2 linked regions of the Callithrix jacchus genome follow. The protein of the gene in region 2 interacts with the protein of the main gene of each other region in a biochemical or structural test. Links are inferred from orthologs where the notes say so. Each region holds a gene or a part of one and is shown on either strand. Other genes may lie near its edges.

Region 1 (5,847 bases), on a different chromosome or scaffold from region 2:
TTATTTTCCCTAACGGAGTAGAAAATCGTTTTGAGTGTATTCCAAATTATAGGGTAGTCGGTCTGATTTTCACAGTGTGTTTTCAAAAGTGTTAATACTAAGACTGCTTTGGCCAAATGATTAATATACTGCCAAGGGGTTTCTGGGTAAATTTCTATGCATTTCAGTTTCTTTTTAGGAAAGTAGGAACAATATCTATCTTACAGGATTACTTCTGAGAACTAACAATGTGATGCATAAAGTGCTGGAGTTCTTTCAAAAATTTATGGCATTTCCAAAAGCCATAGTCACCCTTACAGAAGCAGAGTCAGGCATGCATTTGTAGACAAGTAATACGACTTTAAAGCTAGAAAAGACCTTAAGAAGCAATCTTATTATAAAAGTAAGTATACCAAAAAAAAAAAAAAAAGTAAGTATACCACAAAAATGTTAACTGATCTCTCCAACTAATGTGCAGTTCAGTAAAGACAGAACCCAGAATTGAGATGCTCCGACTGCAGTCACGTTTCATCTTGCCGCAATCATTGTGTATTTGCATATCATAAGCCTACAGAGACAATGGTGTCTATCCCTGGGAAGTTTTCATTGTAACATGTGATCATTACTACCCTGGAGGTTCTATCTGATTTTAATTTTTTTTCCTTCACACTTGGTCTATCTCTGTTGAGTCAGATTTCTTATATTCTAATATTGGGGGAAAGGTGGAGATTTGAAGAGAGGGGAAGGATTGGTTAGTACATGGCCAGTCAAGGTAAAGATGACTGCAATAATCACCAGAAATCTCTGCAGAACTATAGAGGCCTCCCGGGACTAATCCTGAAGAGCTCTGATTGAAGTTTGCTTTCTTTTGCCTATACCAACTCTATCAAGTAGAATTCAGTCCATGACTTGTAGACTTGGAGGTGGAGATGGGGTGGAGAGCAAAAATTCTATTTCTGCAGGTAAAACCAGAGCACAGTGAGCCCAAACCCCTTTCTACCTGGGTGGCATGAATGAGTCCAACTGCTACCGTCCCCCCGGACAATGGAGCAAGGAGGGGCGGGCAGGACCAGACTGCCTTCAGCCTCCCGCAGGATGCCTGGCAACTAGTTTCTTAGTGGTCCTTACGGTCCAAGCGCGGTTTAAGGTACTAACTAAACTCATTCTTCAGTCTCCTTCTCCAAGTGTTCCTGGAGAATTGCTCAGTTTGCACCCAGAAGTAGGCTCAGGATCCATTCTCTGCAGCAGCACAATGTAGGTCAGAGAGCATGAACAAAATCGCTACTTAGGAACACAATAGTTATTTTGTTATTGCAAAGTATCCACAACCACTACTACAAAGATTAGCACCTAGCTTTACTTAGGGGGAAGAAAATCCTGGTCCTATTTAGCAGTTTCCCCCGTACAGGGAGAGTTCACCCCTCCCCCAGTCAACAGAGCTCTTCTTCCATAGGAACTTATTTGAGAGTTCTCCAAGGATTTAGGTTTTCACTCCAAAGCTTTCACAACTTCTATCTGGCGGGGTGTGCGGGGGTGGGGGTGGGGGTGGGGGTGGGGGTGGGGGTGGGGGTGGGGGTGGGGGTGGGGGTGGGGGTGGAGAAGCTAAGCGTCCCGGTGCTGCAAAGAGCCTGGTATTGGTAGAAACACGTCGGCGGCCTGCAGCCTTCTAATCACAGTGCGTCCTTCCCCTTAGAGAGAAGTCTGCGGAAAGCAAATCCCTACACCCAGCCATCATTTCCACTCTTGCGTTTTCAAAAGATCAAAAAACGGAAAAGACCGGCAGGTTGGCAAACCCCAAAGAAGGACTGCCCATCAGGTCGGCGTCCTTGGGATCTCAGCAGCCGACGACCCCAATTCAAAGCGATCGTGGGAAACCCCAGGGAAAAATGGTTAACTTGCAGAGGGACAGGATTACAGGGTGCAGGCTGCAGGGAAGTACCGGGGGCAGGGGGCCTGGTAGGAAGGACTTTCCAGCCACTCGGCGCTCATCAAAAAGTTCCCTGTCCGTGACCCCAGTGCCTCATCGCAGGGAGTTTCTCCGATGAACCCCAGCTCAGGGTTTAGGCTTCTTTTTCCCCCTAGCAGAGGACGAAGCCAGTTCTCTTTTCTGGTCTGACTGGCTTGGAAATTCCCCGCGCCTGACCCCGCCCCAGAGAAATCCCCAGCCAGCGTTTATAAGGGCGTTGGGGCGGCGCTGCAGAGCCCACAGCAGCCCGCGCCGCCGTACCGTTCGCCAGCGCTCCAGCGAGGAAGCAGCGCGCAGCCCGCGGCCCAGCGCACCCGCAGCAGCACCCACAGCTCGCCCGAGCAATGTTCCAGGCAGCCGAGTGGGCCATGGAGGGCCTCCGCGATGGGCTGAAGAAGGAGCGGCTGCTGGACGACCGCCACGACAGCGGCCTGGACTCTATGAAGGACGAGGAGTACGAGCAGATGGTCAAGGAGCTGCGGGAGATCCGCCTAGAGCCGCAGGAGGCGCAGCACGGCGCCGAGCCCTGGAAGCAGCAGCTCACCGAGGACGGGGACTCGTAAGTGGCGCGGGCCAGGGGTCGTTGGGAGGACCGGACGCGCGCAGGCGGGGCTTGGGGGGTGCTGGGCCTGCAGCCCGAGCCCGGGGACCAGCGCTGCAGCCGGGCCAGCACCGCGGCGCCCCGGGGCTCCTGCACGGCGCCGAACGCTGCAGGGCCGCAGGGCCGCGCGGGACTCCGGCTGGACTAGGAGGGGCAGAGGCTCGGCTCTGGTGGACCGCAGCGTCGCCACACGCCCCCTCCCCCCCATCCGTCCTCTAGGCCGGGGGCGGGGCGGCGGTGGGGACGCGAAGTCCCCGGTTGCATAAGGCGGGGCGGGAGTTTCTGGCCGCTGGCGGGCGCCTTGCAGCCGGGAGGGGAAGTACAGGGCGTTCCGAGCCGGCGGGAGGGCGGGGCGGTCTGGCCGGCGCCCGCCGAGGCCTGAAGGAGGGGGGCGGAAAGTCCCTGGGCGCCTGCCAGGAACACTCAGCTCATAATAACCTCGCGGAAAACACCGCGGCCTCGGCCTCCAGAAACCCCGGCCTTGCGCAATCCCCCGCAGCCCGCGCCTCCCTGGGCCCCACGCGGTGCACTCACCACCCCTGGGGGTTTTTCCCTCTTCCCCACAGGTTCCTGCACTTGGCCATCATCCATGAAGAAAAGGCACTTACCATGGAAGTAATCCGCCAGGTGAAGGGAGACGTGGCCTTCCTCAACTTCCAGAACAACCTGCAGCAGGTGCGCACGTGCCTGGCCCGGGCTTTCTTTGACCCTGGGACAGAGCTGATGTAGCAGAGTCACCCCAGATCCTTTCTGAATTAAGGGCCACTGGGCATTATTCACCCCTGCCGTTTACTTCGCATCAGCCCCCATCCTAGAGAGGGAAGGAAATTCTATGGATTTGGTGAGGTCTTTATGACCCACCTGGAGCCTCTGCTATTTGCCAGCCCTCCCCACCCTCCCACCTGGGAGGAGCAGCACCCAACCAGGAGACATTGGGGATCCGGGGAACTCGGGGTGTGGGTTTGATTCATGGCTTACTCTCTCTGGTTTCTCTTGCACTGGTAGACTCCACTACACTTGGCTGTGATCACCAACCAGCCAGAAATTGCTGAGGCACTTCTGGGAGCTGGCTGTGATCCTGAGCTCCGAGACTTTCGAGGAAATACCCCCCTACACCTTGCCTGTGAGCAGGGCTGCCTGGCCAGCGTGGGAGTCCTGACTCAGGCCTGCACCACCCCACACCTCCACTCCATCCTGAAAGCTACCAACTACAATGGTATGTCTGCCTTCCTGCCCTGCCCCACCCCCTCAGAGGGCAGGTGACATGCAGAAAGGGCACGTGGGCCAACTTAGGGAGTCCAGGAAAGAGCTTAAACTCCCAACCTGTGAAAGATCGAGAAAAGATGTGTGCAATATGCCTATTGGATACATTTTAAAAGTCCCTTCAGAACCCAGACTGGGGTTCTTAAAATTCAGAAGACATGACTGTTTGTCCCATAAAAGAATAGGTGAAAGGTGCTGCTTTAGGAGGGTTGAAACAAATGGTTATGCTTTTTTCCTTTTGTTCTTCCAGGCCACACGTGTCTGCACTTAGCTTCTATCCATGGCTACCTGGGCATCGTGGAGCTTTTGGTATCCTTGGGTGCTGATGTCAATGCTCAGGTGAGTGCTTCCTGCCTCCCATGTTCTGAGTCAAGCTCCTCGTGCTTGTGTTGCAAGCAGAAATTCCAAACGCAGCCATAGGCATCTCAAATTCCTTTTGGTTTCAGGAGCCCTGTAATGGCCGGACTGCCCTTCACCTCGCAGTGGACCTGCAGAATCCTGACTTGGTGTCGCTCCTGCTGAAGTGTGGGGCTGATGTCAACAGAGTTACCTACCAGGGCTACTCCCCTTACCAGCTTACCTGGGGTCGCCCAAGCACCCGGATACAGCAGCAGCTGGGCCAGCTGACACTAGAAAACCTTCAGATGCTGCCAGAGAGTGAGGATGAGGAGAGCTATGACACAGAGTCAGAATTCACGGAGGATGAGGTGAGTCTGAACTGCTTCAGTATTCTGTGAAATTAATGGCGGGGGGGCTTTCCCTTCACCCTCCCAGTCCCCTAGAGCTGCTCTTCATTAGAGGAATGTCCATGTAATGAATCTCTCAAATTTCTGTGTATAACCAGTATCCCAAGAATGTGCCTTTTTTTTTTTTTAATAGCGCACTGTTTTTTTTAAAAGAGAAGCATTAAAGGCAAACTCCCTCAACCTGTAAAGTTCACTATATTTGGGCTACGGAGAATGGAGTCCAAGTGTTATTTCCAGTAGCAGCTTCCCCATCCCAATAGCTTGGCAGAGCTCCAGAAGTTTAACGTTCTTTTTTTCCCTTTGTTTTCAGCTCCCCTATGATGACTGTGTGTTTGCAGGCCAGCGTCTGACATTATGAGCACAAAGGGTCTGAAAGAACGTGGACTTGTATATTTGTACAAAAAGAGAGTTTTATTTTTCTTAAAAAAAAAAAAAAAAAAAAAAAATTTAAAGGGTGTACTTATATCCATACTGCACACTGCCTGGCCCAAAACATTTTACTGTGGTGGGATCAGCCCTCGTTTTGTTACTTTCGTGAACTTTTTGTAGGGGACAAGAAAGATCATTGAAATTCCAAGAAAACTTCTTTTAAGCTTTACCTTTGTGGGAGTTTGGATAATGTTATCAAAAATTTCATGGAAGGACCACATTTTATATTTATTGTGCTTTGAGTGACTAACCCCAGTGGTATCCTGTGACATGTAACAGCCAGGAGTGTTAAACCTTCAGTGGTGTGGGGTTAAAAGTTGCTACCTGTCAAGGTTTGTGTTACCCTCCTGTAAATGGTGTACATAGTGTATTGTTGGTAATTATTTTGGTACTTTTATTATGTATATTTATTAAACAGATTTTTACAAATGAGTTATTCTGATCAATTTCTTTGAGCTGCCATGGGCCTCCTGTTCTGAGTGGTTCCATCCTCTGGCAGAGGTGAAGGTAGATCATTGTAGGGGAGCAGGGAGCGGCCAGCAGCTTCTCACACCTGACACCCAACCTCCAGCAAAGCTTTGCAGGCAGCCTGGGCACAGTGTATGTGTGGGAGGGAGGCTATTGCAAGGTTATAGGAAATGCCAGTTTCAGGCTAGGAGTGGAAGTTTGCTGCTCGGCCTGTGGTTGGAGAGCTCTCTGTTGTCATCCTGTCATCCCCTTGATTTAAACTGTTCCAGGACCCTAACTTCCACTTCAGGAAATCATTTTGGCCGAGAAGAATATGCTGAATTCATATTATATATAGCTGGGAAAGATCTCACTTATAGTACAGGAAGTTCCTAAGGACATAGGCTCAGAAATCA
Region 2 (5,673 bases):
AAGGAGCTCTGCTTCACCCCACCTGGCCCCAATTGTCCAGCTTGTGGAACCGCCATTTTGTACTCATAGGAAAGACCAAAGAATAGTATAGCATGAGGATTTACATGGGAGGGGAGGGAGGAGAGGAAGGGGCGGTTCTTTTTTTTCCTTTTTTTTTTTTTTTAGACAAAGTTTCGCTGTTGTTACCCAGGCTGGAGTGCAATGGCACGGTCTCGGCTCACCGCAACCTCTGCCTTCCGGGTTCAAGCAATTCTCCTGCCTCAGCCTCCCAAGTAGCTGGGACTACAGGCACGCACCACCATGCCCAGCTAATTTTTGTATTTTTAGTAAAGACAGGGTTTCACCATGTTGACCAGGATGGTCTCGATCTCCTGACCTCGTGATACACCCGCCTTGGCCTCCCAAAGTGCCCGGCCTGGAAGGGGCGGTTCTAATAGAGCCATCACCCAGACTGGAGCACCCTCACCTATGTCACATGGGGCAGTGAGACTGCAGGGGCTGTTGAAACAAGAGCTTCATCTCAAATTATACGTTTCAGTTTTCACTTTTAATCGTGGATGCACTCAATCTGCTCACTACCGTATGACCATTTTTGCCATTCATTTACCTTGTAACCAGGCCGGGCACGGTGGCTCACGCCTGTAATCCCAGCACTGTGGGAGGATCACTTGAGGTCAAGAGTTCAAGACCAGCCTGGTCAACACAGTGAAACCCCATCTCTACTAAAAATACAAAAAATTAACCAGGCGTGGTGGCAAGCACCTGTAATCCCTGCTACTCAGGAGGCTGAGGCAGAGGTTTCGCCATGAGCCAAGATTTCACCATTCCACTCCAGTCTGGGTGACAAGCGCAGAACTCCAGTTCAAAAAAAAAAGTATCTTATAACCTTGAGCAAGAGCTCTCTCAAAACTAATGAGCTCTTCCTCATCACGCGTCCCTGAGTGCTGGATGAGCTTAGTGGTTCTTTGTTCACGTACAACAATGCAGTGTCACACTTTGCAAACCTGCTCCTTGACACCTTTGTACTTCTGATCAGAACTTAGAAAAGGAATGAGGAGGCAGCCGAGGGAGAAGTAAGGAAGGGCCACCCCAAGCACTGTCCTCTGACTCCCCATATGCCTGAGACCCAGGAGAGGTACCCAGGTGGAGCCCACAGTGGATTGGGCTTGCCTTCAGCCCCAGCCTAGTCCTCTCAGAAGAGCCATACCTGGCCAGGCCCTGTGACTCACAGCTGTAGTCCCAACACTTTGGGAGACCAAGGCGGGCAATCACCTGAGGTCAAGAGTTTGAGACTAGCTTAGTCAGCATGGCAAAACCCTGTCTCTACTAAAAATACAAAAATTAGCCAGGCATGGTGGCGCCTGCCTGTAATCCCAGCTACTCAGAAAGGTGAGGCAGGAGAATTGCTTGAACCTGGGAGGCAGAGGTTGCAGTGATCCAGCCTGCGCAACAGAATGAATGAGATTCCATGTCAAAAAAAATTAAAAGAGCCATACCTGCATCAGTCACAAACCTTACCACCTAGGACTCTGACCATTAAGCCCTTAGTGCAAGAAGCAGACTAGAGGAGAAGGTAACTGAGGATGCTTTCTCCTTTCCCTGTCTCCACCCCATGCTGTCACAAGGACACTACAACACAGCAGCCCAGGCCACAATGATGGCTTATGACTCCAGGCCTTCAGCTCTCATTAGACAACCTCACTGAGCATCCAAACTTGTTGTGTGACTTGGAGCAAGTGTTTTCCTTTCTCTGACTGTCAGCATTTCATGTAGCAAATGACAGCTTTTGAAACAAGTGCCCAGGGTCCTTAGGGTTTTCCAAGCTGATTGTGTCATTTCACTTTCTTCACTTGTGGCCAGCTTGGTATTGGGCAACTTTGTTTCATTGAAATCAGTAGGGTTCCCCTTTGCTCTCCTCTGCTCTGACGGTGCCAGCTCCAGCACTGTGGGTAGAGGACAAGGGGTCCTCTCTCTGAAGGGCCTTGTGGTTGGTTTCTTCCTCTTCCTGCTGCGGGTGGGGGTGGCGTGCTCAGGCAGCACCTGGAGCAGCTCCCACTCCCAGGCTCCTTCCGTGCCCGATGCCTCACTCGATGCACTTGGGGGCACCCAATCCTAGAATCTGTTGCTCCAGGAAAATAGCCCATTTTCCATTCATTTAGAAGAGAGTGATCGGGCACTTCTGGGCCACAGTAGCCAGTCCCTGCCCTCCTCATGGGACCTATGTGCTGTGGTGGCCAGGGAACCACAGCAAGTAAGCAGAAGATACATGTGGGCCCTGTGTTCCCAGCCCCCCAGAGCGCATAGATCCCACAAGGAGGGCCTGGAGAGCAAGCCTGCCGGGGCAGGCTGAGGAGCACCCACACAAAAGGAAGAGCAAATGCCTGAAGCCCTGAGTTGGGAACTAGCTTGGCGTGACCTAGAAACTGCAAGCAGGCAAGTGGCTGGCAGACCCACAGCCAGGGAAGCGGGACACCCTGGGGCAGGCTGTACCCACGTGGCCTTCATCTGTCCCTTCCTCCTCCTGGCCAGCTTACGCAACACTTGCGCACACACCCAGCTTCCTTCCTGGGGGCCCTGATGACGGCTCAGAGTTACCAAGTGGGCCACTTCCCACCTTCTCAGGACTCCCACCCCTACCAGGGAGTGAGGGGAAGAGACTGGGACTGAGAGTCTACGGGTTCCTCACCTGTCTGGGCCTCAGATTCCCCACCTGGATCACAAGGGCCATGGGCTTGCTGGGCGTTCAGCGGCCCCCACCCCTCCCTTTCCTCGGAACATTTCTGGGCTGACTTCTCCGTTGGTCCGATAAGATTCTTGCTGTGTCATGATGATGTTGGCACTCTCCCAAAGACCCGGTGACTCATGAGCCCCTGGGTTTAGGAGGGAGGCCCTTTCGTTGGTTTTTCAACTGAGCTAACTCAGCAGCCCCCAGGTTCTCGGGCTCCACCCAGGGAGTCTGGGCAGGTCCTTGACCCTAGCGACCCTTGGGGATGGGGTGGCCTACCCCTGCTGGCTCTCCAGCAGGCATCGCCCTCTACCATGAAACCCTCACGCCAAGACGAGCTGTAGCGATTTGGGTTTATAAAACAGGTCGTGGCCTAGGTCCCTTTGCCCTGGCCGAGCCAGACATTGGTGGCTGGAGATCTTAATCGTGTCCTGCTTCTACTAAGTCACCCTGTGTCCTCAAGAAGGTCCCTCCCCTGCTGTGGTCCTCAGGAAAGAGGAGGGCGTGGGGAAAATGAGAAGCTCCCAGCTGCTTCTCACTAAGGATCCCTTGAATTGCCCCCACCCACATGGCAGGAGTAGACTCTTGACTAAGCTGTCAGGTTTTCCCATGTCTTCCTGTACTTGTCCCTCCAGAAAGTCCCACTAGAGCGCTGCAGCCAGCTGGGAGGGCAGGGCTAGCCCTGAGCCCTGAGGAGAGCAGCTCAGTCTGGCTCTGCTCGGCTCAGCTCAGCTTAGCTCCTCGTCACCATGGGAAAGAGCTGCCTGGCCTTCCCCCACCCACGCCATCCTCTGTCTTACCTCGACTCACTTCTCTCAGGTGACTCGGATCCCAGCAGACAGTCGGTTGCAGGGGCTGAGCTGGAACAAGGCGAACAGGTTCAATCTCCAGTTAATCCCAAAGGGAGCAGCAGGAACAAACAGCCTGGAGCGTGGGGCCGCTGTGACTCAGCAGACCAGTCCCCTGCCAACAGTACCTTCCTGTAGTCTGTCCCAATGCCTCCTGATCTACCAGAATTTGGTCATGAGCAAACATGACCTGCTTTGAGTGAGGCTTAGAGGTATTTGCAGGCTGTGGTTATTACCGTTTCATTCAGGGACAAGTTAGTTCCCAGCGAGCTGGCCCTTTCTGTGTGCGGGGACAACCCTGAGTTGATGTGCCATGGCCAGTGTTCCCCTCCCCAGTCTGATGGCAGGGTGCTGTGAGGAGCAGAGTGGAGGAACTCCTACCCCAGGGTGAGGGGTCGTCTGAGGTGGACTTGGAAGGATGCAGAAGCAAGAGGTCCTTGTGGCTTCAGGGAGCAGCAAGTTGGATGCTAGGAGGGCTGCACTGGGCTTCATGTCGGGTAGTGATGGGTGAGAAGGTCTCATGGGTGGTCCAAGACCAGCTGGTGGCAGGGCTGGAACTTTATTTTCAAGACGGTCACTGCAGCATCTGGGGGGCAAAGAGACCATTTATAAAACTTTCATGTGGCAGTTACAGGAGAGCCCCACTCCAGAGTGCTCAAGAGATAAATGGCAGGTGGCTAGGAGCCCCCCGATACCAACACAGGCAACCCTGGTTTGGGAACAGCCCACTGTGGGGATGCTGAGGTCCCAGTGCAGCCTGGAGATGACCCACAGACACTTGTAACTGGGCCGGGAAGAAACTCAGGAGCAGTCTGCCTGCAGCTCCCACCTGAAGCCCTGCACCGAGCTCACCCAAGGAGGGGCAGAAGCAGAGCACACAAGGGATGCACACCATAGCAATTTCCCACCTGGAAGCCCCCGGTGGCTTCCTAACTGCCTGTTTCATGGGGGCATGTGTCCTGGTGGCATGGCCTCCATTCTATAATGGTTCATAGAAACGGACCCATCCATGATTGCAGTGTCTGATCGCTTTGAAGAGCATGTCTTTTGTTTTCATCTGTGTGTGTGAGATGGAGTCTCGCTCTGTCACCCAGGCTGGAGTGCAATGGCGTGGTCTTGGCTCACCACAACCTCTGCCTCCCAGGTTCAAGTGATTCTCCTGCCTCAGCCTCCCGAGTAGCTGGGACTACAGGCATGCACCACCATGCCCAGCTTATTTTTTGTATTTTTAGTAGAAACAGCGTTTTACCAGGTTGGCCAGGATTGTTTTGATCTCTTGACGTCGTGATCCACCTGCCCTGGTCTTCCAAAGTGCTGGGATTACAGGCGTGAGCTACAATGCCTAGACTGTCTATTACTTTTTATCATGTTTTACTGAAATATATGTCACGCCCAGGTGCAGTGGCTCACACCTATAATCCCAGCCCTTTGGGAGGCCAAGGCAGGCAGATCACCTGAAGTCAGGAGTTTGAGACCAGCCTGGCTAACCCATCTGGGGGAAACCCATCTCTACTAAAAATACAATAATTACTCAGGCTCTGTATCAGATGCCTGGAGTCCCAGCTACTCAGGAGGCTAAGGCAGGAGAATTGCTTGAACCCAGGAGGTGGGAGATTACAGTGAGCTAAGATTGCACCAGTGCACTCCAGCCTGGGTAACAGAGCGAGACTCCCTCTCAAAAGAAGTCTATGTCATGAAGAACACAAAATCAGCAGAGCCGCAGAAGCTGCTCCTAGATCAAGAAACAGAATATGCTCTGCACCCAGGGAGGCTGCTCACAGTTGCTGGCCCCCAAAGGGTCATTTCTGACCCACTCCCCAGCCTCCACTCCATTGCTGGTTTTCTCGCTGTCTTTTTGTTGGTGCACATAGCAGTACATAAATCTTACCTTTACAATTGGCTATGCTCCTCATCACAATAAAGGCCATTATCATCTACCCAGAAAGTTCCTGGGTGCCCATTTCCAGCCAGTCTGCCTCCTGCTCCAGGCAACCTCTGGTCTGATTTCTGTCACAATGGGTTGGTTTTGCCTATTCTGGAACTCCATGAGAGGGAGCTTGCAGAGGATTGCACCTCTGATACTGAGATTTCCCAGTGTTT

Evidence for each region. The genes of interacting proteins can lie anywhere in the genome.
Region 1: of the proteins of IKBKG (region 2) and NFKBIA, one has a biochemical effect on the other in vitro, tested with the Homo sapiens proteins (15 studies listed by BioGRID and IntAct). The link is inferred for Callithrix jacchus from reciprocal best matches to the Homo sapiens genes IKBKG and NFKBIA.

The regions. Positions count from the first base shown.
Region 1 is NC_133509.1:69,915,501-69,921,347, reverse strand, and holds NFKBIA (NF-kappa-B inhibitor alpha), read left to right. Parts: upstream 1-2,180; 5' UTR 2,181-2,289; coding exon 2,290-2,504; intron 2,505-3,112; coding exon 3,113-3,221; intron 3,222-3,551; coding exon 3,552-3,762; intron 3,763-4,059; coding exon 4,060-4,148; intron 4,149-4,255; coding exon 4,256-4,516; intron 4,517-4,865; coding exon 4,866-4,913; 3' UTR 4,914-5,416; downstream 5,417-5,847. UniProt on the Homo sapiens protein: Inhibits the activity of dimeric NF-kappa-B/REL complexes by trapping REL (RELA/p65 and NFKB1/p50) dimers in the cytoplasm by masking their nuclear localization signals.
Region 2 is NC_133524.1:150,333,037-150,338,709, reverse strand, and holds the start of IKBKG (NF-kappa-B essential modulator), read right to left. Parts: upstream 3,625-5,673; 5' UTR 3,526-3,624; intron 1-3,525. UniProt on the Homo sapiens protein: Regulatory subunit of the IKK core complex which phosphorylates inhibitors of NF-kappa-B thus leading to the dissociation of the inhibitor/NF-kappa-B complex and ultimately the degradation of the inhibitor.